Linked DNA regions of Notamacropus eugenii. The protein of the gene in region 1 purifies or fractionates together with the protein of each later gene. This does not show direct contact. Links are inferred from orthologs where the notes say so. Each region holds a gene or a part of one and is shown in the gene's direction. Other genes may lie near its edges. The genes, in order: HNRNPR and ILF2.

What was found.
Region 2: the proteins of HNRNPR (region 1) and ILF2 purify together in Homo sapiens (affinity purification with mass spectrometry; 3 studies listed by BioGRID and IntAct, counting the BioPlex papers as one, with this or other methods). This does not show direct contact. The link is inferred for Notamacropus eugenii from reciprocal best matches to the Homo sapiens genes HNRNPR and ILF2.

What each region holds. Positions count from the first base shown.
Region 1 is NC_092876.1:63,735,601-63,747,140, reverse strand, and holds the start of HNRNPR (heterogeneous nuclear ribonucleoprotein R), read left to right. Parts: upstream 1-3,560; 5' UTR 3,561-3,795; intron 3,796-4,207; exon of another isoform or gene 4,208-4,259; intron 4,260-6,604; exon of another isoform or gene 6,605-6,607; 5' UTR 6,608-6,616; coding exon 6,617-6,773; intron 6,774-9,107; coding exon 9,108-9,226; intron 9,227-9,655; coding exon 9,656-9,763; intron 9,764-11,540. UniProt on the Homo sapiens protein: Component of ribonucleosomes, which are complexes of at least 20 other different heterogeneous nuclear ribonucleoproteins (hnRNP). hnRNP play an important role in processing of precursor mRNA in the nucleus.
Region 2 is NC_092873.1:377,646,290-377,657,829, reverse strand, and holds the start of ILF2 (interleukin enhancer-binding factor 2), read left to right. Parts: upstream 1-6,071; 5' UTR 6,072-6,174; coding exon 6,175-6,179; intron 6,180-7,416; coding exon 7,417-7,476; intron 7,477-8,938; coding exon 8,939-8,981; intron 8,982-9,444; coding exon 9,445-9,549; intron 9,550-10,062; coding exon 10,063-10,140; intron 10,141-10,691; coding exon 10,692-10,794; intron 10,795-11,262; coding exon 11,263-11,328; intron 11,329-11,540. Other genes in the region: NPR1 (atrial natriuretic peptide receptor 1), read right to left, coding at 376-489, 934-1,133, 1,949-2,654. UniProt on the Homo sapiens protein: Chromatin-interacting protein that forms a stable heterodimer with interleukin enhancer-binding factor 3/ILF3 and plays a role in several biological processes including transcription, innate immunity or cell growth.

The sequences.
Region 1 (11,540 bases):
TTATTTTGTATTAGACTTACTTTTGTACATGTATCCCTCTTGCAAAATACAAGTTTCTTGACTTAACTTATAGTGATGTAGCTTTCTCCTTAATAAACCCATTTTTCATCCATTTATATTTTTTTGTATATTGTCTTATCAACCATACTCAAGTATCAGTCCCTTGGGGGATGAGATTGTATTTTATTTATATTTGATATTAAATTCAACAAAAACCTTTTACTAAGATCCCATGTCGTGCACAGGCACTGTGCCAGGTGCTAGGGCATAGCTCATAATCTAATGCATATGTAGAACAAATATGATAATAGCTCTCATTGGTATGTCATTTTACATACATTATCTCATTTGAGCCTCAAAACTCTGCTGTGAGGTGGATGCTGTTATTATTCTCATGTTACAAATAAGATAACTTAAATGACTTGTCCCACTGAATTAATTTTAAAGAATTAAATGACTTGACATGGTTAGTGTCAGAGATGGAAAATGAACCCAATTTTCTTGACCCCAAGTTCAGCACTCTACCCACTATGCCAAGATGCCTCTCCTACAAAGCTGTGGCAAAGTGGAGAGAGCACTGCACTTGGTCACCAAGACCTGAGTTCAAGTCTTGCCTCAGATACTAGCTGTGTGACCTTGGGAAAGTCACTTAACCTTGGTTTGCCTCAGTTTTCTCAAGTATAAAATAGGGATAAAAATAGCACCTACCTGTTGTAAGGATCAAATGAGATACTATTTGTAAAGCACTTAGCACAGTACTTGGCACATAGTAGGTACTATACAAATGCTAGGTATTATTATTATTAAAGTAAGATGTGACTAGGGCAAAGAAGAAACCCAGAAAAAGTACTCTCTTGTAACTAACATGTATACCTGAAGACCTAGCACAGGACTCTACACAGGGTAGGGAGACAATAATTACTTGTTGAATGAATGAATCTATTCAGCATAGTGCTAAATATGCAGTAGATACCTAAGAAACACTTAAAGACAAACTTGGTTGTGTTCTCATGGTAACTTGATCCTGAAATGCCTTTGGAAATGAAGACTAGCTTGATCAAGATCACCTTTCACCTACATGTATTGAATTACAAATGGAAGAGAGAAATCAGGTCAGGATTCATCAGACACCACTAGATTCTAAGATCCTTGAGGTCAGAGACTTAATCACCTTTTTATGTTTGGCTCCGTGCTGAAACAGATTTTGGCAAGTAATAGCATTCAGTTATTGAACAAGTGTTTATTAAATGCCCATATATAAGGCTGTGAAAAAGCATTGATTTCAACTTTACATCCTTACATGCCACCAAGACATGAAAAAAATAGATTTAGGGTAAATGGGAGTTTGTCTTCTTTGTGTACTCAAGATGGAAAGAATTGCACAAGATTTTCTTTAATCAAAACTCTTATCTATCTATGGTATTTTGCACCTATCCCATCTACTTTATAATAAAGTTCATGGACTCTATGTAGCCATCAAATACACCCGCAGATAATAAAGAAAATTTACATACATTTACATTGAGCTATCACTATAAGACCAAAGAAGGTAGTTTAAGCATTTCAATCACTCTGAGGGATGGTAATTATGAGAATAAATGGACAGATGTGAGAAACAAAATCTAATTCTGGTTTTGAAAGTGGTCATTTTAAATTTTCCTATACCCCCCCATCATGGTCTCCTTGGCAAAGATCTTGGAATAGTTTGCCAGTTACTCCTCGAGCTCATTTTACAGATGAGGAAATGGATGCAAACAAGGTTAAGTGACTTGTTCAGGGTCACACAGCTAAGTGTCTAGGGGAAGATTTGAACTAAGAGAGATGAGTCTTCCTGACTCCAGGCCCAGCATCTATCCACTTTGCCACCTACCTGCCCTTGTAGTCTACCTTTGATCATATGAAGGATTCCCTTATTCCTCCTTACTTTTTCTTGATAATATCCTAACCCCTCAGACTTGACATAACTATGTTTATACATCTTTAACCGCTTTTTTTTTCTTTTTGGCTGAAACCTGGCATTTCACAGGTATAGAGAATTCCACCAATGCAGATCTGCAACTTGTCATTTCATTTTAGAGTACTTCCTGGGGCCACTAAATGAATTGGCTTCCCTAGCATTACACAGCTAGTAGGTGTCAAAAGGACTTGAATCCAAATCTTCTCCACTAGAAAACCAGCTCTCTCTACTCAACTAACCCTGCTACCTCTCAATGGACTCCCTATTCTACTTCATAGCTATTTTTTGTTGGAGTTTTACCCTCACCTACCTTACTGAACACTAGGAGGGCAGAGACTGTCCTATCTAAACTTGGCATCTCTCCATCCTTTCCTAGGGCTCTTTACATTGTGATCACTACATTTTTTGAATGAATACTTATTTGCATATTTTCAGTAAAGTCCTTGAAGGCATAACAGATTGTATCAGTTTTCATCTTTGACTTTTCATAATGCTCAGCTTCAGAGCAGGGAATTTAATTGTTCCTTCAACAGGTATTTAATTCTGTGCACATCATATTTTTTGCTCCAAGTCAAGGACTAGGTGAGTTTTTCACCAGTGCCTAGCTGGCAAGATCTGGCACATCACCATTAATAAAGGTTGACTCTTGTACCCTTGGGTATATTGTATCCTCAAAGTAGACTGCAGGGTCCTCGAGGGTAGAGGGCTGTCAGTTTTCACTCTTGATCCCAACGCCCAGAATTAATAGTCCTTAACAAGCCAATGCCTACACTGCTCTCTGGACCCGGTCCTCTTCAATGCCAGTGCCTTCCCTTCGTTGATTTTCTCCATTTTACTAGACTAGAGCTTGTTTGTAGTTTTTCACACGCTGTCTCCCCAACGAAGAGTGGGAGCTCCTTGAGAGCAGGGACTCTCAGTGCTTAGCACGTAGTAGGCTGGCACATAGTAGGCGCTTAATGTGCATCTGCAGGTGTGGGGCCGGGCCCACTCCTGCCCTCTCTGCATCTCCAGCTCTTGGCCAGGCACACGGCTCCCTTCATCAGCGTAGACGGAAATAGCCCGATGATCGAGGGCTCCAGGGTTCTCACTGGCAACCACAGACCCGAGGCCAGTAGTGGGCCTTACATCACGCACCAGGTCCCTCTCCGCCAACGTTGGCTGAAGCGGTCAAGAATTTAAAGCAAGCGCGCGGTCCGAGGGCCTGGCAAGTCCGGCCTCCGGGCCAGCCAGGCCTCAGGTCGGACCAAAAGGGGATGGGGGAGGTCAGGGGAGTCGGTCCCGTTCTGACCGGGCGAGACAAGTTTCAGGGAGTCCACGGCACTCACTTCCGCCAAGAGCGACCGGCCGGACACCCGAGGCCCTCAACAGGACGTGCTCCGCACGCACCAGAGAGCCCAGCTCTGGCCGGCCTCAGCGCACCCTTTGTGTGCCTCCCTCCGCCCCCGGCTCCTAGTCCGGCGCCGCTGAGCTCTCCCATTGGCTACGCGGAGGCCTCCGTTGATTGGCTCTCTGTTCGTCCCGGCTCGTTGCCCCCAGCTCAGAATTCGGTTTCTATAGGTCGCCGCAACCGCTGCTCGGGCCTCCCCTAGTGCTGATTGGTTGTGTCGGCGAGCCGAGTCCCTGGAAGCAGTTCCGGGAAACCCCGCGTGCTGCCGGGATCTCGCCGCCCGTTCCATGAGGAGGAGGAGGCGGAGGAGGCGGCGGAGGCGGCGGCCCTGGGGGGGGGAAAAGGCGGGGGGAGACAGAGAGGGGGTGGCGCGCGCGCCATTTCTAGTCGTTTTCAAAGAGCCTCGCGCTCGTTCTCACGGGCCCCCATCGCCGGCGCCCGCTTTGCCCTGGTGAGTCTCGCGCCCGCCCGTGGGGGGAGGGGCCGGCCGCCCCGATTCGGCCGGGCCCGGACCCCGCGCCACGTCCCCGCTCTGGAGGGGGCCGCCGGGCGGGCCGGTGCGAGCGGGGGAGGGGGGAGGAGAAGGAAGGAGGCGAAGGGAGGAGGGGGGGCGCCTCTGGGCCCGCGCGGCTTCGGGCCTAGGCCGGCCGGCCTGGCACCGCCGCCCCCGCAGCGTGCTCCGCTCGGGCCCGCGGGCCGCGCCTTTCCCGCCTCCGAGAAAGGCCCCGCCATGCGTGCCGGGAGGTGGGGGGGGGGGGCCGGAGGCCGGGTCGGGCCTCGCCGCCTGCGCCTCGGGGGAAAGGGAGGCCCCCCCTAACGTGCCCCCTCCCCCCACGTGAGGCTGGCGCCCTCCCTCCCGCCTTCCATCCTTCCCCAGCGGGCTGAGAGGTGGTGGTGGTGGTCCGGGGAGTGAGAGTAAGTACCCCCCCACGTGGTGCCCAGGTCAGGCCTCTCCCCCTGCCGGCCTGCAGGCTGAAGCGCTGGGTCGTTCACGTGAACGTTAAAAACAACCCGGCAAAATGGGGGGGGGGTAGCACATTTATCCCCCCAGTTTAAATGGCCTTCGTGCCCCGCCCCAGAAGAAACACTCCCCCCAAAAAACCCTCTCACTTGATCGTGTTTACTATGGCCGGAAGTTTGCTCCGGCTGGGCGGTAGTTTGTCAATTAGCCTAATAGGATTAGCTCTGGAGCCTGGGGCTCGGAGGAGAGGGAGGCTTTTCTGGTGGATTCCCCGAGACCTGTTTCTGTAAAGCTGCATTTCTGGTAAAGTTGGAGTCCACTTTTTTCACAGTAAAGACGCTCCCTCCCCTTTCTTTCCTTTCCTCCCCTCCCCCTGCGCCCCTCCCCCTTCAGTATCTGCTTATTGGAGGCATGCTGAGTACATCTGGTACTAATAGTATTCATGACTTTTTTTTTCCATCTTGTGCTTAATAGGCAACCTGTCTTATGCTTTACCCATACTTTGATGATGATATTTCTTAACAGAAATGTTCACATCTGTTAAGAGTTTGCTTCCATTCTGTGACTGCAAAATGTTGCTTTGCTGCGAAGGTCTCGTGATGTTGTGTTTAACTTTGGAGTTTTGAAGAATTCCTAGCTGTATTTGGGGGTGGGGTGGGAGAGGGATGACCATTGAGGAGATGCAGCCGTGTGTAGGAGGACGGTTTGATTTAAAAAGGTGCATCTGCCCATTTTTCGTGCTAAACAGTAGTCTTGAGTGTGTTAGCTTTTAGCTAGTTCATCAGATAGTGTTTTGAGGCCTGCATTGAAAAGCATGTACCCACGTAAATAAAAAGAGTTCCACAGCAAAGGATGCGTCTGCCTGTACACAGCCTGTACCTATCACCAGACAATCAGATCTTTAATGATGTTCTTTGACCATAAGATAGCTTTAGCTCTTTCAGAGTAATCCTTCTATGCTTAATGTCCTTATTTCCTCCTTTCTCCCTTTTTCTCCCCAACTCCACCTCTGGTCTGTTCTATCTTCTCACATTATCTTCAACTGGATTTCAGTGGTCTTTGAAAGAAATTAAGTTGTTTCAAGTGGGACAATTGCTCCTGGTGCTTTCCCATAATGTCTGGTAGGATCTCTAGTAGTGTGGCTAAGCAAGCACTTTTTGGGAGACTTGTATTTTCTTGATAGCCGAGGTATCTTGAGTTTTCTTCAAAAACCAGGCTTATTCTTGATATCCACCTTCGTATCCTTTATTTCAGTATATGTTGCAATGTCTTTCTTCTGCTGCATATTATCTTCATCAAGTTGTCATTTCACCACAGACAAATGCACCTTTAACTCTTAACTGCTTTTGTGAGGCAGGTACCTTTTCATCCATGCGGGTCTTGTAGAGCTCTCCATTTAAACTCTCTTCCCCAGGTAGTTGGTCCATTTCAGTAGTACGTGAGTGGTGGGATATACAGAATGATTGCTGGCTGGTTTACTGAGAAATCTGACCTAAGTTCAACCTTAATTAGGCACCATTGATTGGAACTCTTGGAAAGAAGTTAGCTTGAATATGTATTTTTGCAGCCTTACCAAATTGATTGATATGGAAAATTCAATATATTGTACTTGGGTTTCCTTTTTTTAAAAAGTAACCTCCAAAAGTAGCTCATTTTAAGTATGGATTAAATTTTTTTTCTCATAAATTTGTACATGGGAAGAACAAAATTAATTTTGTTAGTGATCTCAATGTGATCTTAGTGAGTGCAGGATGGAAAACCACCCCCAGATACCACCAGCATGCTCAACAGGGTTACACTTCTGTCACACCTGCATTGGAATGGAAGCATGGCATGGCAGAGAGCCAGGGATTTTTGAAAATTCTCAAACCTTGAGTGTTTGGTCTGTTTAAAAACAAGATGTAATTGAGTTTATGTAAGAATGGGAGCTGCAGAGCTTTTTAGACATTTATAGTGGTGACTTGTTCATCAAAGAAAGTGTTTCTTTTTGATGACATGATCACTGGGACGTAACAGCTGCTTTGCTAATCAGATACTTTCCCTCTGATCAGAAAGTTTGAGACCTATGACCACCATGGTGTACATGAAGTACCTTAAAACCTTACTGCTTCCATGTACATTTCCATTGTTTTCCTGGATGATTTTATTGCAAATTTAGGTCAGCTACCTCACAGGCATTAAATATGATTTTGATAGAGTATTAGCAGCATGTATACAAGTTAGTTTAGATAAGTCATTCTTTGTCCTGCAAACTAGTTATTTCTGGCTTAATGTAATATAGCTCCTGAATTTTTTCCAGCAGCATAATAAAATGGCTAATCAGGTGAATGGTAATGCGGTACAGTTAAAAGAAGAGGAAGAACCAATGGACACTTCCAGTGTAACTCACACAGAGCACTACAAGACACTGATAGAGGCAGGCCTCCCACAGAAGGTGGCAGAGAGACTTGATGAAATATTTCAGACAGGTATAATATGCATTTCTTGTTTCTGACCGGTTATGAAAGTGAGGGCAAACCACTTTGAATTGTATAGCTTTTTAAGGTTAAATAATACTACTGTTTCTGATCTGTCCTGTAGAGCTGAATGTGTGACTTTCTGTCACTGAAGGCAAATTGGGTTTGACTTTGACACTGACTCTTATTTCATGATTTTGAAGCCTTCTTAGTGTTGAATATGCAGTCTTAGTTGCTTCAGACCAGTACATCAATTTGTCTTAGATTTATCACAAGAAAAATGTATTCCAGCATACTAAATTTTACATTTTTTTCTCAATCCAAATCAGTCATCATTTTGCTTTTACTTTTCTACTTTTAGCTTCTTAATGTGACTCTTAAATCAGTTTAGCTCTGAACTAGGTGGCATAGTGAGGAATAGTTAGGATGCATTATTGCCTGAAACTATAATAAATGTCATATTATGTGAGTTTTGTGGCCTGTCTAGTTTTCATTGGACAGTAATCCACATCTCTCAGCATCTCATGGAAGTGTTTGGTTTGCAATAGTTGGCTGTTTTTTATCCCAGGGTTAAGTGCTTAGAAAATCTGAATATCTTAAATAAGGTTTTGGTTGTAAGTGGTTTCAGGTTTTAAACTGGGAGATATGTTTACCCTTAGGGAATCTTGTTCATAAATAAATATATCCTCCCCCTTTGACGACTTAAATGGACGGAAACCTTCCTTTTTGAGCTTTTGGTGATCTGCAGTCAGCTTCTGAGAAAGAATTGAATTGTATTATAAATGTTTCTTAAGTACTGTAAGTCGTAAAATAACTTTCTGTCCTTTTTTTTTTTAAGAAAAAAAGGAGATAAATGTTAGACATTAAAAATAGTTTCCTTAAATGTCTCCTGGGTAAGGTATCCATTTGGAAATCACTCCTAGGAAGCTTTTTGTGCATTTCTGCCATTGGAAACAGGCAGTGATCTGCTTAAAGTTACCCTCTTGGAAGAGTCTTGGTTAGTAAGGATGCTTAGTAAGGAAGGATACTTGGTTAGTAAGGAAGCTCATGCTTTGGGCATAGGCATTGTTGGACCAGAGGGAAAGGTCTGATGGGCCTCTGGGACTGTGGTGTTTGGGTGGTGCTGTGGCATTTTTCATGTAAGGAACTGCAGACTTATTTAGACATGCTCATTTGGGGACATTTTAAATTATGACAGTGCATTTAATTTTCTTACATCAGTAACTGCAAGTGGCATTACATTTATTAAATTTTTTATTTCAGTCTAAAATGAAATTTTGTTTGGTGGGCTTTGCTAATGTGGAGTCACTTTAAAAAAAAGTGCTGTTTCCATTTCCTAACAGTTTACTTCACAGGCTCATGCATAACAGTTGTTATAATAAATTCAGATTAAATTAAAAGAGCTGTATTTTATTCCTTAGTAGATGCTCTATATACTGTTTAACAGTTCATGTTTAGAGTACTGGGAAGAATTTTTTTTTAAATACATTTTCTAGTAAGTCTATGGCCATAAAATTAATTTTAGTTCATTTGAAAAATGTCATTGTTGATATTTAGCGTTCTGATTGCCACAGCATCCCTTAAATCTCAACACATCACGAAGAAACTTAAGAAGCTGCTAAAAAATGGCCTTCTTTACTTTTTCCCATGCTATACCTACAAATGTTAATTTTATAAGGCTTACAGAAGAGTGATATTATATCTTTCCACATTTGATTGCAGCAAAGTGTGTCTGTACACTCAAACAATTTTCAGTCTCTCTGTCCCTAAGAAGGAGAAAGCTTTTGCTACTCTTTGGGGCTAGAGTTGCTTAGTAATAGGTGACTTTCTCCCCCCAGTTGCTTGGGTGACTCTTTATACTTGAATGAAGATTGCAAAACTCCCCAAGTCCATAGTTTGGAGGAGATAGATCCTTGGGGAAGATAGTAACGTTCATGTATTACTTAGAAATGTGGACCAGAATTGATCACTTGAAGCCTCAGTCTGTTGCACAATGTGCACAGCAGATTTAACTCCTTCCAGGGCTTTTGAAACTCCAGTGTTTATTTTTGGAGGGGGGAGGGTAGGGTTTGTATTTATGTGTTTTTTGGCAGAGGTGGGATTGGGGGGGAACGTGGGAAGCAATTTCAGTTTCATAGTAAAAGTATTTTATTTTTAAGTATTTACATTTTCATGTTCTTTCATACAGTGTTTGTATAGTTGCGTGTAGTTAAGAATAAGATAATTTATTAGTGATAAAATTGAATATGACTTCATAATTAAAAGTTAATAAGACAGGTTCATCAATTTGTGTCCCCTCTAGCTTTTTGAACAGTAACATTACCATTTTTCAATTTGAATTTTTAGGGTTGGTAGCTTATGTCGATCTTGATGAAAGAGCAATTGATGCTCTCAGAGAATTTAATGAAGAAGGCGCCCTCTCAGTGCTCCAACAGTTTAAGGAAAGTGACCTGTCTCATGTACAGGTAAGATCAAGAGTCAGAAGAGGGGCTGAGTGAGTGAACTAAAGTAGAGTTTGCTGGTTGAGTTCCATGATGCCTGGCCTGGTATGCTGGACTCTAAGGTGCTTTTGTAAACCTGAAGTTGGTGTACTGCTAAAAGTTGAGTCTCAAAAGCCACATTGAAAACAGAAGCTTGTCAGCCATTCATTTTATATGACTGATGTCCTCAGGAGATGTTACCAGGGATACAGGGAGCAGACTGTCCATAATATTTGGGCTAGACTGCTGCATTACCATGGGGGAAAGTATTCAGAACAGCAGATGATAAACTAAAAGTCATGAAAGGCCTATTTGGTTCTCCCTAATGTTTAAATATCTGGAGATATGGAATCATTTATTCATTTGTTGATACAACAAATTTGTTGGCAACTCCAAATGGTTTTTATTTTGTAGAACAAAAGTGCATTTTTATGTGGAGTTATGAAGACCTACAGGCAAAGGGAGAAACAAGGGAGCAAGGTACAAGAATCCACAAAGGGACCTGATGAAGCAAAGATTAAGGTAAAGCAAACTGGAGTTTGTAGAATTAATGAGATTAATTAATGTTGTTTTCCAGAATGGTGTTTTTATACCCCTAGCAAATATTTCAAATATTAAGCAGATTTTTCATAAAAGGTAAGGGTTTCTGTTGAGCTGTTCTTTCTCCCTCTCCCCATTGTTTAGAGGTATTGTGGTAGAGTGGCAAGGACCCTAGATTTGGAGTCAGGAAGAGACAAATTCTGTTTTAGACTCTTGCGGTCTCTGGCGTCTCCAGGCTTCAGTTAGCTCATATTCAAAATTTAGGTGTTGACTGTGGTACCTACTTCACAGGGTGGTTGTGAGAAACAGATGAGATAATATATTATGTTTGTTTTAGCATAGCATGCTGGAAAGGGCACTACATAAATCCCTAGACTTAAACTCTAAGCCTCAGTGTCCCCATCTGCCAATTGTGAAGGATGGTAGTATTAATAAACCATAATCTGATATTTACATAGCCAAACACCTTTACATATAGCCCTGTGAGATAAATAGTGCAGGTATTATTATCCACATTTGACAAAGAAAGAGTGCAGGGTCATGAAGTTAAGAAATGTCTGAGATGGGCTCAGACTAACTCAGTCTTCTCTTGAGTTCAAGTTCAGCATTCTGTTCCTTGTGCTGTATTCCCACTGTCAGGCCTGCTGTGTTTGCCTCCTGGTGGTTGTGGAGCTCAAATGAGATTCTGTGTACGTGGTCAGAAACTGGAGAGCACTGTGCAAATGTCAGACTTGTCAACATTATATACTTGAATTTGTGTAGGGCCTTTCTCAAAGAGTTTGTGTTTCTGTTTCTTTGGATTTTTTCCATTTGTCTTGAAGTTCTCCAGTCACTCTTCTTCCTTTTGACTTTCCATATGCCTTTATGATTAAAAAGAGGCCCTGAAAGATGAAACGCAAGGTTAGGGCTAATTGGTGAATGGACCTTTTATGTTAACCCAGTTTTCTTGATTGGCCATTTGCCTTAAAATTGTGAGCAGAAAACAGAGGCCAGCCACTTTGCTGGAATGATAGAACTTTAAAGAAGTCTGGAAATGTCTTACATTGTACTTTATTTATGGAGGTTGAATTTTGGTAGTGAGGTAGGAACAGCATTGGATTTGGAGTTAGGAAGGTTGGGTTCTAGTTTCTTTTAGCAGCTTTTATTTTTTTTAAGTCTTAGGACTTAATCTCTGCCTCAGTTTTATCATTGGGAAATGGAATAACACCATCCCTTTTCCTTCCTCATAGGACTATTAGGTTAAAATATGGTGTATTAGAAAGGGAATAGAATTTAGATTCAAAACCAAGGCTTGAAGTATGGTTTCTGCTGTTGTCTCTGTGACCTTGGACAAGTCACTAAACTTCTGGGCCTCAGTGTTCTGCCCCACGAAAGAAAGGGTTTGGACTAGATTGTCTCTAAGGTTACTTCTAGCTCTAAATCCTGTAATTGTGTTCTAGGCAGTAATATTTTAAAAACAAATTGTTTTGTCTTTGCAGTAGACAGGTCTGTGTTATCTGTCCTAAACAATTTGCTTCCTCATTGAGAACTTTTAACACTATTTTAAAAAACAAAACTAAGCCTTGGGTTGAAAGTGGGAGAATGGTTAGGAGAACTCACTGTAAAGAACTCACTTTAGGAGTCTATTCAGAGATGATGGCTTCACCTATAAAAGCTAGGCTAAAGTGACCAACCCCTGCCTCTCACAAGCTCTGTGGTCTTGGTCAGATCACCTTCTTTCTGGCTTTGGTTTCACTTTCAAATGAAGGGGTTGTGGTAG
Region 2 (11,540 bases), on another chromosome or scaffold:
GACATGGTGGGGGAGAGGGGAGGAATGTGGAGAGTGGGCACAATGTGTAGGGGAAACAGGGCTATAATACAAATCAAATATTAAGCACTCACTGTGGGAAAGGTACTGGGCAATTCTAGACAGTTGGTATACAAAGAGATAAAAAGAAAGTCTGCTTTCAAAGAGCCTACTTGCATTCTACAGAGCACAGTGAGTAGAGCAAAAACATAGAGAAGATGAAGCAAAAGGCATTAGGATGGAAGCATGGAGCTCCTGTGGGTGGAAAGGTTGTAATGGGAAGGGCAGTGGGTATGGTGTGTGTGTGAGTTGGTCACACTAGGGCAGGGCTATGTGAGGCTGAACATGGCCTTGGGAGCCAGAATGGGGCTTCCTTACCAGCCCATCCTCCACTGTGAAGTTAAATTTCTTCTGGGCTAAATCTTTGAGCTGCTGCAGAAATTCCAGATACTCAGGATTATCAGGCTCCTTATATGTGATGATTTTAGCAGCCTGGCCATGGGGCAGGAGGAGAGGGAAAGAAGGCATTATTAGGGATACAGCTGAAAGGGCAATACTACAGGGCTCCTCATTCCCAGGGATATTGTGTTCACGCCCTTGGGTTTCTCTGTTTCTCTTTGATCAGTCTAAAGTCCTAAGTTCAGAAGCAAAGGAATAGACAGATAATTGTCCAAACTCCTGCTCACCCCAAGGCACCTCTGAACTCCAGACTTACCTCATTCCTCTAATTTGTCATTCATTTGACTCTCAAGCCCCAACTGTAGTCATCAACCCATCTCCTCTAGCAGCCATCCTCTGACTCCCTGATAACCTGTCCCAACCTCATCCCCATTCTGGAAGTATGTCAAGGACCAGAGAAGCAAAAAGAAGGATAAGCCTCCAGCATAGCATCATACAATGATAGGTAGGTTCTAACCAGGACTTTGGGGTACCCACCTGGAAGGCCTTTCGGGCAATGGCATCATACCTATCCCCCTGCTGCCATGGCCTTCCAGAGATAGGGCTACGCCCATCCTGCAGGCTCTTTCCGAAGACATCAAGGTAAAAGAAAATATAGTCTCCCTCGGTCATCCCTGCTTCCTGGGCCAGAAGCATCAGGTCTCTGAATGTGTTGGGAGAACTGCAGATATAGATGACTGTGGAAGAGGACAAGAAGGAGTCAGATGAGCAGGAGATAAGAATTTAATGGAAAAGTTTGGGGCTGAAGGAGGGGAGAGATGGGGTTAATAAGGGCCAAGAAAGAGATTCCTTTATTTTAGAGACCTGTCCTCCAGCCCCGAGGTGAGCAGTACCTCCAGGTTCAGCTTGGGCTATGGCAGGGGAAGGAGGACTGAAGAAAGACTGAGATGAAGACAATAGGAACTCTTTGACCTCCCCACTACTAAAGTAACAAAAGAAAAGGTGGGAAGGAGAAAGTGGAAATTGGAAAAGGAAAGAGAAAATTGAACCCAAGGGGAGAAGGGGGAGATAACCAGAAAGGACAGAGGGTCCAGGGAGTATAGGAAGAGAGGAAGGCTGGGTGAAAAAAAGAAAGAAAAGGGAAATGAGGAAAAGAGGGAGAGGGAGACCATAGGTGTGAGATGGACAAACTCAAGGAAGGAAGTAGAAAAGAAGACAGAAGAAATAATTCACACAGAGGACAGGAAAGATGGGGAAATGGGAAAGCAGGGGAAGAATGAGGAGTGGAAAATGGGAGGAAGTAGGGAAGAAAGAGCCGGAGAAACAGGAGCAGAACAGAAAAAGCAAAGTAAGAAAGCGGGGTGAGGAGGGCGAAGAAGGGACAGGAGAAGGGCAGGAGCCAGTGGCGGCACACTCTGGTTGGGAGACGAAGGCCCGTCTGGGTCTGGAGCTTGAGGGATCCTGAGGGTGTAGGAGTGGTGAGGTACCGGTCAAAGCCGGCCTCCCTTTCCCGAAGGGGCTCCTCCCATGGGGTCTCAGAGTACCCCCTTACTTCTGCCCTTTTGTTGCACGTCGCGCAGAAGTGCGCTATAGAGCTCCAGGTCACCCTCGGCAAACTGCAGGTAGTCCACGGTAATGTTGAGTCGAGCCCGGAGCCGAACGTACAGCCCTTCGATGGCAAAGAAGCAGGGCCGGTCGTCCCCGACTGGGGGACGGTCGTTGTAGAGCAGGAGTGTGCGGCGCTCCCAGCCCAGCTGCTGGTGCAGCGTGGCCACGAAGTCCCCGATCTTGACATGGCTCGGACCGGTGCGGGTGGTCAGGGCGTACTCATCCTTGGAGCCGAAGCCCAGCGCGGACGCCCCGGCGGTCAGCATTGGCACGTTCCAGTGCGCGGTAAAGCGGCCCACAGGCGCGGCGGAATACACGCACCCTGGTCCCAGAAACGCAGCCGGGTGGTATTCCACTTTGAGGTCCACCGCAACCAAGGGTGCCCAGCTGTCGGAGCACACCCCTTGGGGGTTCTCGCTGCTGCCCAGCTGGTACACCGCGGTCCAGCCCGGCAGCAGGTCCGACCGTTCGTTCATCCTCTTCAATGCCATCTCCACGGCCGGTCCCACGCGTGACCACGACCACGGGTACGTGGTGTTGGTCACTGGTAGGACCACGGCCACTGTCAGGTTCTTCGCCTGGCACCCCCGGAGGACGAACTGGACGAGGAAGGGGAGGAGGACGCCCGAGGGGCACTTTGGGGCGCGCATTGCCTCAGCTGGAGAGAACAGGGCAGAGAGAGCGCCCAACCACGTCCCCTCCCCTCTCCACGCTACCTCTTCCCTCTCAGTGAAGCATCGAGTCCATCTCCGGGGAGCGGGGAAGGGAGACTCCTGGGCCCCGGGTGTCCCCTCAGTCTGGGTGAGAGACAAGAGGAATTCGAAGGGGTGAGAATGAGCAGAAGGGGCAGACAGTGCTAGCGTGCCAGGGAATGAGCGTGTCTCAGAGGGAGGTTGCAGGAGGGCAGGTGGGTGAGAGGGAGAGTGGAAGAGTGCGTGCGTGCGTGCGTGTGTGTGTGTGTGTGTGTGTGTGTCTATGCTAGTGAGAGAAGTGGGAGAGATAAGAAAGGAGGGGAAAAGGGAAGGAGGAGGGGTGTGAGTGTGCGCGCTCTTGTCTGTGATCTAAGGGTGCCACTGAGGGCAGAGGGGTTGTCCAGCCAAACTCTCCGTCTGCCTTAGGGGGACTGGGAAGGACCTGGAGCCCTCCCTTCTTCCCTCTCCGACTCAATGGCAAAAGAACCAATTCCTGATCTTTAACTCCTTCCTCTCCGGAATCTGGCTGCCTCTATCTTCCTACCTCCCCGCCTTCTTCGAAGTCCCTCTAACCACTCCTACTTCTGTCTCCCCTTCCTCCCTTGGGGATCTGGTACGGGTGAGAAAGCCTTTCTAGAGGACGGGAAGTTTGTTGAGGAGGTGTTTGTTGTGTGCATGTGCCTGTGTGCTCTAACAGCTGTGTCCTCTTCCTCCTTCCCTTCCTCTTATCTTTCCCCTTCCACCTTGTAACATCTGGTGAGAGAAGCATTTGCTTACTTGAGAATCTGCTAGAATAAAATTGGAGGCGGGGGGTGGGCTAGATTTATGGGAATGATGAGTTGGAGTATGGGAAAAGGGAAAGAGGGTGAGAATTGAGCTGGGAATCAGGAGTCCAGGCTCTCCATCTGTACGCGATTTCCCCTCCAGGACTGAGCCACGGAGATGCATCACATAATTTTAGATTGTAGAGCAGCAAGGGGCCTCAGAAGCCGTCAATTCCAACAGTTGAGGAAACTGAGCCCCAGAGACGTGAAAAGACTTGCCCAAGGAACAAAGTGAGAATTTTTAGGTCGCTCGGGTTCCTAGGCTGGAGGAGAGAGATGAAGACATAGCACCCAGGACTGATGGGCACAGATCCCGCAATGTGGGAGCTTTGGTGAAGACTATTCCACGAGGGGGTCTTTGGAGGTTTCCTCCCTTCTCCGGCTGATGAAGCAAAGCTTTGGATCCTATCCCAACTCCTAGAAGATATGGCCCGAGGGCTAGCGACCGCCCGTCGGGGTTTGGGAGCCTTTGGTGGAAGAGCGAGAAGGAGGCAGGGTGGGGTGTGGGGTGTGCGACGTGACTCAGGGACTGGAGGGAGCTCAGCCTGGACTACTCGATGCAGTCCCGACAACTGTGGAGTCATTCTGCCACCCAGTGGTCAGTAGTCATCTCTGATGTTGCCGGTTCCAGCCTGGCAGGTCATCAAGAACAAATTTCCCCCGAGGTGCCCCAGGCCAGCTTCCGTTAATCATCATCATCATCATCATCATCATCATCATCATCATCATCATCATCATCATCGTCATCGTCATCATCATCACCATCACCACCACATCAACCACAACAGTAGCAGTTCTATAACCCTTTAAAGGTTTGCAAAGAACTTCACAAATATTAGTTCATATTATCTCATTTGAGCCTTATAACCACCCTGAGAGGTGAATGCTATTATTATATCCATTTTACAGATGTGGGAACTGAGATGAAAAGAAGTGAAGGTCAGATTAATTATTAATTACCCGAGGCTAATAATGAGACAATTTCTCATTCCTTTCTTTCCCCCCCTCCACTCCCCAGTTTCCCATCTCCAGCAGCTTGCCGGGCACTTCCATCTGGATGTCCCATAGACATTTCAAAGTTGATCTATTCAAATCAGAACTCGTTTTCTTTCCCCTAAACCCTCTTTTCCTTATAACTTCCCTTTTTCTGTTAAGGGCATCACCCAGGTTCACAATCTTGACTCTCCACTTTCTCTTGCGTAATCAGTTTTGTAGATTTCATTAGCGTGTCTTTTGCCTGTCTCCTTCCGTCCACTCACATGGTTAGCTCCCTCATTTCCTCTCATCGGAACTATTTCAAGAGCTTCTTAACTGGTGTCTCTGCATGCAGGCAACCTCCCTCCTCCACAATCCGTCCTCCACACAGCTGCCAAATGGTTATTAGCCAAACCCAGTTGTGAAGAAACTTCAATGGCTCCCGTTACCTCTGAGATAAAACACCAACTTTTCTGCTTGTCGTTTAAGGCCTCTTACAAGCTGACTCCAACCCAGCTGGCCGGGCTTCTGAAGCTTTACTTTCCCTGTTGTCGCCCCCTCCCATCCAACAGCGTTATTTATTTGCTTTATAAATGTCACCTCAAGCTCTCTCCCTTTAAGGTTCAGTTAAGAGCTGCCTCGTCCAAGAAGCCATTCCTGAATGCCCCAGTTGTTATTCCTCCACTATTATTACTTTGCATTTGTTAAAGAATATTTGTATTTACTTATTTGTAAGTAAATTAAGTCTCTTACTAAATTAAGTCAAGTAAGTCTCCCCTCAATCCCCTCCCCCCCAAGTCTCCCACCTCGTAGAGTATAAGTTGTTGAGGTCAGGGACGGCTTCATTTTTGTTTTCATATCATATCCTCAACTAGTGCAGTGCTTGGCACGCAGTAGGTGCTTAATAAATGCTAGTTAAAATGAATTCTTTGCTCAGCCTATTCGACACCTTCGTTTATTCCTGTTGCTTCAGTTTCCCTTCGAATCTTCCATTTCTTCACAATTTGCCTTGAGATTCCACTTTTTTTCTGTTTAAATCCTGAAACTTCTGGGACTCAGTCTTCCCCCTTTTTTATCTCTGGTTTTCATTTTCCTCTGCTTCTAATTCTCATACTCACGCGTATTAAATTCGGGCAAACAACGTATGTTACAATTTATGTTTGAAATTATCCCTTTTCTTCTAGCAAAGTAGCGCTGGTTGAATAAGGTGAATGGAAAAATTTGTGGTTGGAATCGAAAAGTGTTGTTAGCAGAGGATGGTTTCGATCCATCGACCTCTGGGTTATGGGCCCAGCACGCTTCCGCTGCGCCACTCTGCTAGCTATCGCCAGCCTTGGCTAAATCCTATATAAAGAATGTAGAACTTGTCTGGCGTGTGCGTCAATACTACGTGAGCCTTTCCGCAGCGCCTCCTGTCGAACGTTCTACATACAAGTAGCTCCAGTCGCTGCTTTTCGTTAGGTCGCTTCTCATTGGCTGTTTTCCAGTACCGCAGGCTCTCCCAATGGCTGATAATTCTGTTCGACCGAGGAGACCAATGGGTGTGGATGACGGCATGACGCAGCAGCCAATAGTGACTGGTCTTATTGGAACGTGCCGGCAAGCGGCCTCTCCGGTTGTTGGCTTCTCAGAGGAAGGGGCGGTTGGCGGGGCCTCCATTGTTCAAGACTGTGGGAACCATGAGGTGAGGTGCCGCGGGGCTCCAGGGGAGACCTGGAGCGGGGGATGAGGACCAAGGCCGGAGGCAGTGAGGCCAGAGCACCAGGCAGCTGGAGGGACCGGGTGTCCAGGAGTTGGCTGAATCCCAAGATCCCTTAGGCCGAGTGGGGGAGGGATGACTCCAGTATTTTGTGGGAGGGGGTGGAGAAATCCAGGGGAGCTCCTACCTCATCTCGGGGGACAGGGAAGGCAGAGAGCCTGGAGTCCTTGCCTCCGGTGACACTTCTTACCTGGAAGCCTGTCCTGAGTTCTTCGCGTTCATTCTGTCTGTCTCTTCAAGTTACCTTGTACGGCAGTAATAGAAATTGAGATCTCATTTAAGCTAAATGTAAAAGAGTTGGGAATAAACCTACCATAACGCAGAATACTTACGTACAGATTCAGTTACAGCCTGCTCAGAGACAGAAAGCACAACTCAGATAGCTGGAGGGACATTCAGTGCTCATGGATGGGCCCTGCCAATGTAACAAAAATACGACCAAAGTGAATTTACAGATTTAATTCTGTACCAGTCAAGCTATCTGTGCCCCCATTCACTGTGAAGCGAATGTAAGTTCCTTGAGGGCCAGAGATGCCTCCATCCTCAGCACCTAGACCCGGAGCAGGGAAATTCTTGCACCCACGATTTCCTTTCTGTGGTAGGGAATTCCCAATAAGGCATTTCCCCTGCTAATGCAGGATGCCACCTATTAGTTTTAGAGTTGCCTAGGGCAGTGAAGAAGGTGAGTTCCATAGGCTACTGGGTTACCCAACCAGTATGTATCTCAGGCAGGACTTGGATCCAGGTCATTCTACCATCTTTATTTACTTAGGCTAGGTACCTCTGCATTAATAAATGTTTTTTGAGCAGTGTAATGCAGAATTATTACATATACCACCAGATGCTGGGGTTGTGTTGATCAAGTTTGTATAACTTTTCTCTTTTAATTTTCTCTTAATGCTGTCCGGGATAGGGGAAGCAGGAGGGATGTATTCAGTAATAAGCATGATGTAAAAACAAAAGATATCAATAAAAAAGATTTTTGAAAATAAATTCTTGTGGAGTTGAATGTTTGAGAGGTTGGGTAAGCAGTTCCCATTGAATTAAGTTGAATCGTAACAGGGGGAAAAAGAAACTGGGTGGGAAAAGGTTTGGATCAACCTATGGTGAGGATGTTATTGGTTTCTTCACTCTGTGTAACAACTGCTTGTCTTATTTATAGGGGTGATAGAGGCCGTGGTCGTGGAGGGCGCTTTGGCTCCAGGGGAGGACCAGGAGGAGGGTTAGTACCACCTTTGAGTGCCAGATGGGGTGTATGTCTTCCACCACCTGATTATTTTTTTAGTCCAAGGCCTCTTGCAATAGAGGATTTGGAGTGGGTAAATATTGCTTGCTTTTTATGAGGCCGTATTCTGGCTGAGACAGCTCTTCCCATGTGCTCTTTCTTGACATCTCATGTTTATCCCCTTTTCTGTACTCATTCAGATTGCCTCTATCCAGGTCCTTACCACATCTTCCCCAGATGATTTTAATAGCCTCATAATTGGTATCCCCACTTCTGGTCTCTTTACTTTGTCATCTGCAGCTTCCATATTGATATTCCTAATTTACAGATCTGACCATGTGACTCCCCTATCCAAAAATCTTTAATATCTCCATGTGCCGCTAGGATAAAATGCAAATTCTGCTTTGGTATTTAAAGCCCTCCACAATCTGGTTGTCTCTAGGCTTTCCTATCTTATTTCATAATACTCCTTTTTACTCTCTCCCTTTTCTACTCCAGTTAGCCTGCTAGCCATTCACTATATATAACACTTCATTTCCTGCCTCTGTGCCTTTGCACAGGTGGTTTCCTATGTCTGGAATGTTCTCTCTTTTTACCTCTACTTCTTAGAATCCCTAACTTCTTTCAGAGTTAAATTCAAGGGCTACTTTTTTGGGTCTTTCCTGATCCCTGTTTCTTCCTCTCTCTAGTTGTTAATATCTTCTCCCTTCTTTATATAATTTTTGATTTTACTTGAGTACATGTTGTCATTCTTTTCCCCAACTCCCCTTCTCTGGTGAGACTATAAGATATATGAAGGTGGGGATGGTTTAGCAAGTACCTACTATGGTATCTTGCACATGTGCTTAATATTTGCTGAATTGTTCCTTCAGTGAGTTGATTTTTGCTTCCATTCCCGCCATGCGGAGAGAGATAACCTCAGATGACTTTGCCACCAGTTTAGAGCAGTAGTTGTTTACAAAGGTCTCTGATAACTACAGAGATGTTAGCTCATTAACTACATTTGTATGATAATACATATCCTGGAAACTTCAAACTAATGTAGGTGGGTGGGTGTGAAGCTAGTATAAATTTTTAATATCTCCTACTAAGTCTTCACACAATGTTACCAATGCTCTGAGCATTTAATGTTTAATCTTATCACAATAAGGTTGTGTAGGTGGACAGTGCTAGATGCCACATAGAAATTAAGAATCTTAAGTTCTGTATTCCTAACACTTGCTCTTTATTTTTTAACAATCTGCAGAATTTGGTATTTATTCAAGTGTGGATATGATAACATGTCATGATAAAGGAATAGACTTAACTTTTACTGAGTAGCAAAAATGAATCTTTTTCTTATTTAAACCTTACTGATGCCTTCTTTACTTTACATATGCTTTCTTTTTGTAGTTGTATCAGAAAGTCTAGTCCTCCTGGTTAGGGGAAATGACTTTCTTTTCTTTCTTTTTTTTTTAAGGTTCAGGCCATTCGTGCCACACATTCCATTTGATTTCTATGTGGTGAGTTTGGTACTTTGATTGAACTTGGGTCTTCCACTTTTGCTATTATAATTGTAGGGGCAGGGCCATGGTCCTCTGATGTATAGTCACAAATTCATTTGAATAAATATGGTTTTTTGGGAAGGGTTTTGAGGTCCACTTTTATTTCTTTTCACACAGAAAGAGGCTATGCAGGGTGAGAAGATGTAACTTTGGTTGTTATTGGCAGAAATTCATGATACTGTCACTTTTGTTTTTGACTTTCTGGATACCTTAAGTTTTCTTTTCCTTGATAAGATGTCATGATATTTTGGAAGAGACAGTTGTTGACTTTGTATAAAATATTACTATAGAATTTTACTGCCTTTATGGCTTTTGTATGTCTGGTAGAATATAACTCCTCAGGATTTTTGTCGCGTATAGTTTGTATCTCTGTAGCAATTATTGTGATTCTTATTATCATTTCAACTCCTTTCTGGTTCAGTGTGAAATGGCATTTCCCCGAGTCAAACCTGCACCTGATGAAACCACTTTCAGTGAGGCATTGCTAAAGAGGAATCAGGACCTTGCTCCCAACTCTGCTGAACAGGTTTGTTCTATGGATATTCTCGATGTTTTCCCCTGATAGTTTACGATGAATAGCTGAAGATGGTGTTGGGAGTAGTTGCAGAGACTTACACTTGGTTGTTCCTCAACTTTCTCATTTTGGGTGGAAGAAGGTATTGAGAAGAAGTGAATTTGATTTTCCTGAAGCATAGGTCCAACTATATCTCTTCCCTACTCAGTAGTAACTCTGTTGCCTCTAGAATCAAATATAAGTTCTGTTTAGCCTTTAAAATACTTCAGAATGTGGCCCCAACCCATCTTATTTACCTTAATTGTACATTACTCTTTTTACACTCTATAGTCCAGCCAAACTGAAATTGCTATACCTTCTATAACAATTGAATCTTGATCCAGACCCCAAAGTAACAAGTTTTTATTAAGTCTTGATACCTGGTATTGTCACTCATAATGTTTAGTTCAGTTGTTCAGGTGCTGTTGACACCCTTTTGGTGATTTTTTTTAACCTTGGGCTTTTATATTTCATGTTAATTTTCAGGCATCCATCCTTTCTCTGGTAACAAAAATCAACAATGTGATTGACAACCTGATTGTGGCTCCAGGAACCTTTGAGGTGGTAAGTTTTTGTTGACTGAGTCTCAGGAGGAAGATAGCCTTACATCTGTAATAGTTTCCTTGGGCCTCTTTTCACTTTATAGCTAGTTTTTATATAGGGTTTTACATATGTTACTTCATTTGATCACAGCAATAATAGGTGATATTATTCCCTCTTTACAGATAAGGAAATTAAGGCCAAGATAGCTTAAAGTGATTTGCCCAGGTTCACATAGCTAGTAAATGTCTGAGGTAGGATTTAAGTCAGGTTTTCCTGATTTCAAGTCCTACACAATTCATTTATACCACCTAACTGCCTCTAAGGAAAATACAGTGGAATTTCTTTAATGTTCTTGGTGTTGATTACCATAGTTTTTATTTGTAATGTGGATGTGTTTTTTGCTTTTAAGATAGCATATCTTAATCTTGCTAATAGTAGGTTATGTAATACGTATAACATAATACTATGTAAAAAAAAAAAAAGACTGAAATTAGAACTTTTTTTCTCTCTATACTTTTGTGATTTCAACAGCTTTTTTCTGTTGATGTTAACTCCTCTCCCCTTTTCAACAGCAAATTGAAGAGGTCCGGCAAGTAGGATCTTACAAGAAAGGGACGATGACCACAGGGCATAATGTGGCTGATCTGGTAGTGATCCTGAAAATCCTGCCAACATGTGGGTGACAAGCTTTCTTGGTCCTGGGAGCCAGCTCGGGCTGGGTTTGAGGCATTGGGGGTTTAAGGTCCAAATTGCCAGGAGAGATAATTTGAGGAAAGAGAGAGACCTGGGGAGGTGGAGGGGGAAAAAGGAAGTTGTGATTAATTTGGAGATAGATTTAGGGTATCAGAAATGTTGTAAAGTTACTAACTGAAAAAAAAGAGCTTGGACGTAAAAATGATAATGGAATTTGGGAAATGTAATTGTGTATGGATGGGGGATGAAGGCTGGAATGTTTTGAGCTGTGAATTTATTGCTTTTCTTTTCAGGACTAGAATTTTCTGCAATGTTAGATAATTCTTGCAATATTACAAAGATAAATCCTTGTTTTCTAGGCATGGTACATAAGTAGAGTGCTAGGTGATCTGTAGAAATAACAGGTAGTGGTATTAGAGGGGTATTTATTTTCTACTTTCTTTTGTCTAGTGGAAGCTGTTGCAGCCTTGGGGAACAAAGTGGTAGAAAGTCTTAGAGCACAGGATCCTGCAGAAGGTTTGGCTTTATTATATAATATATATTGAATTCTTATTGGTGCTGAGTACTGTATGGAATGCATGTACGGATCATTCAGATTGGGCAAACAAAACCATCAGTAAGGGATGGCTGTTTCTCAGAGGCTGTGAAAATTGATTCCCTGGCCCAACCAACTTTAAGCTCTTTGTTCTAAGTTCTTGTTCTGAACTCTACCACAGAATTACTTGAAA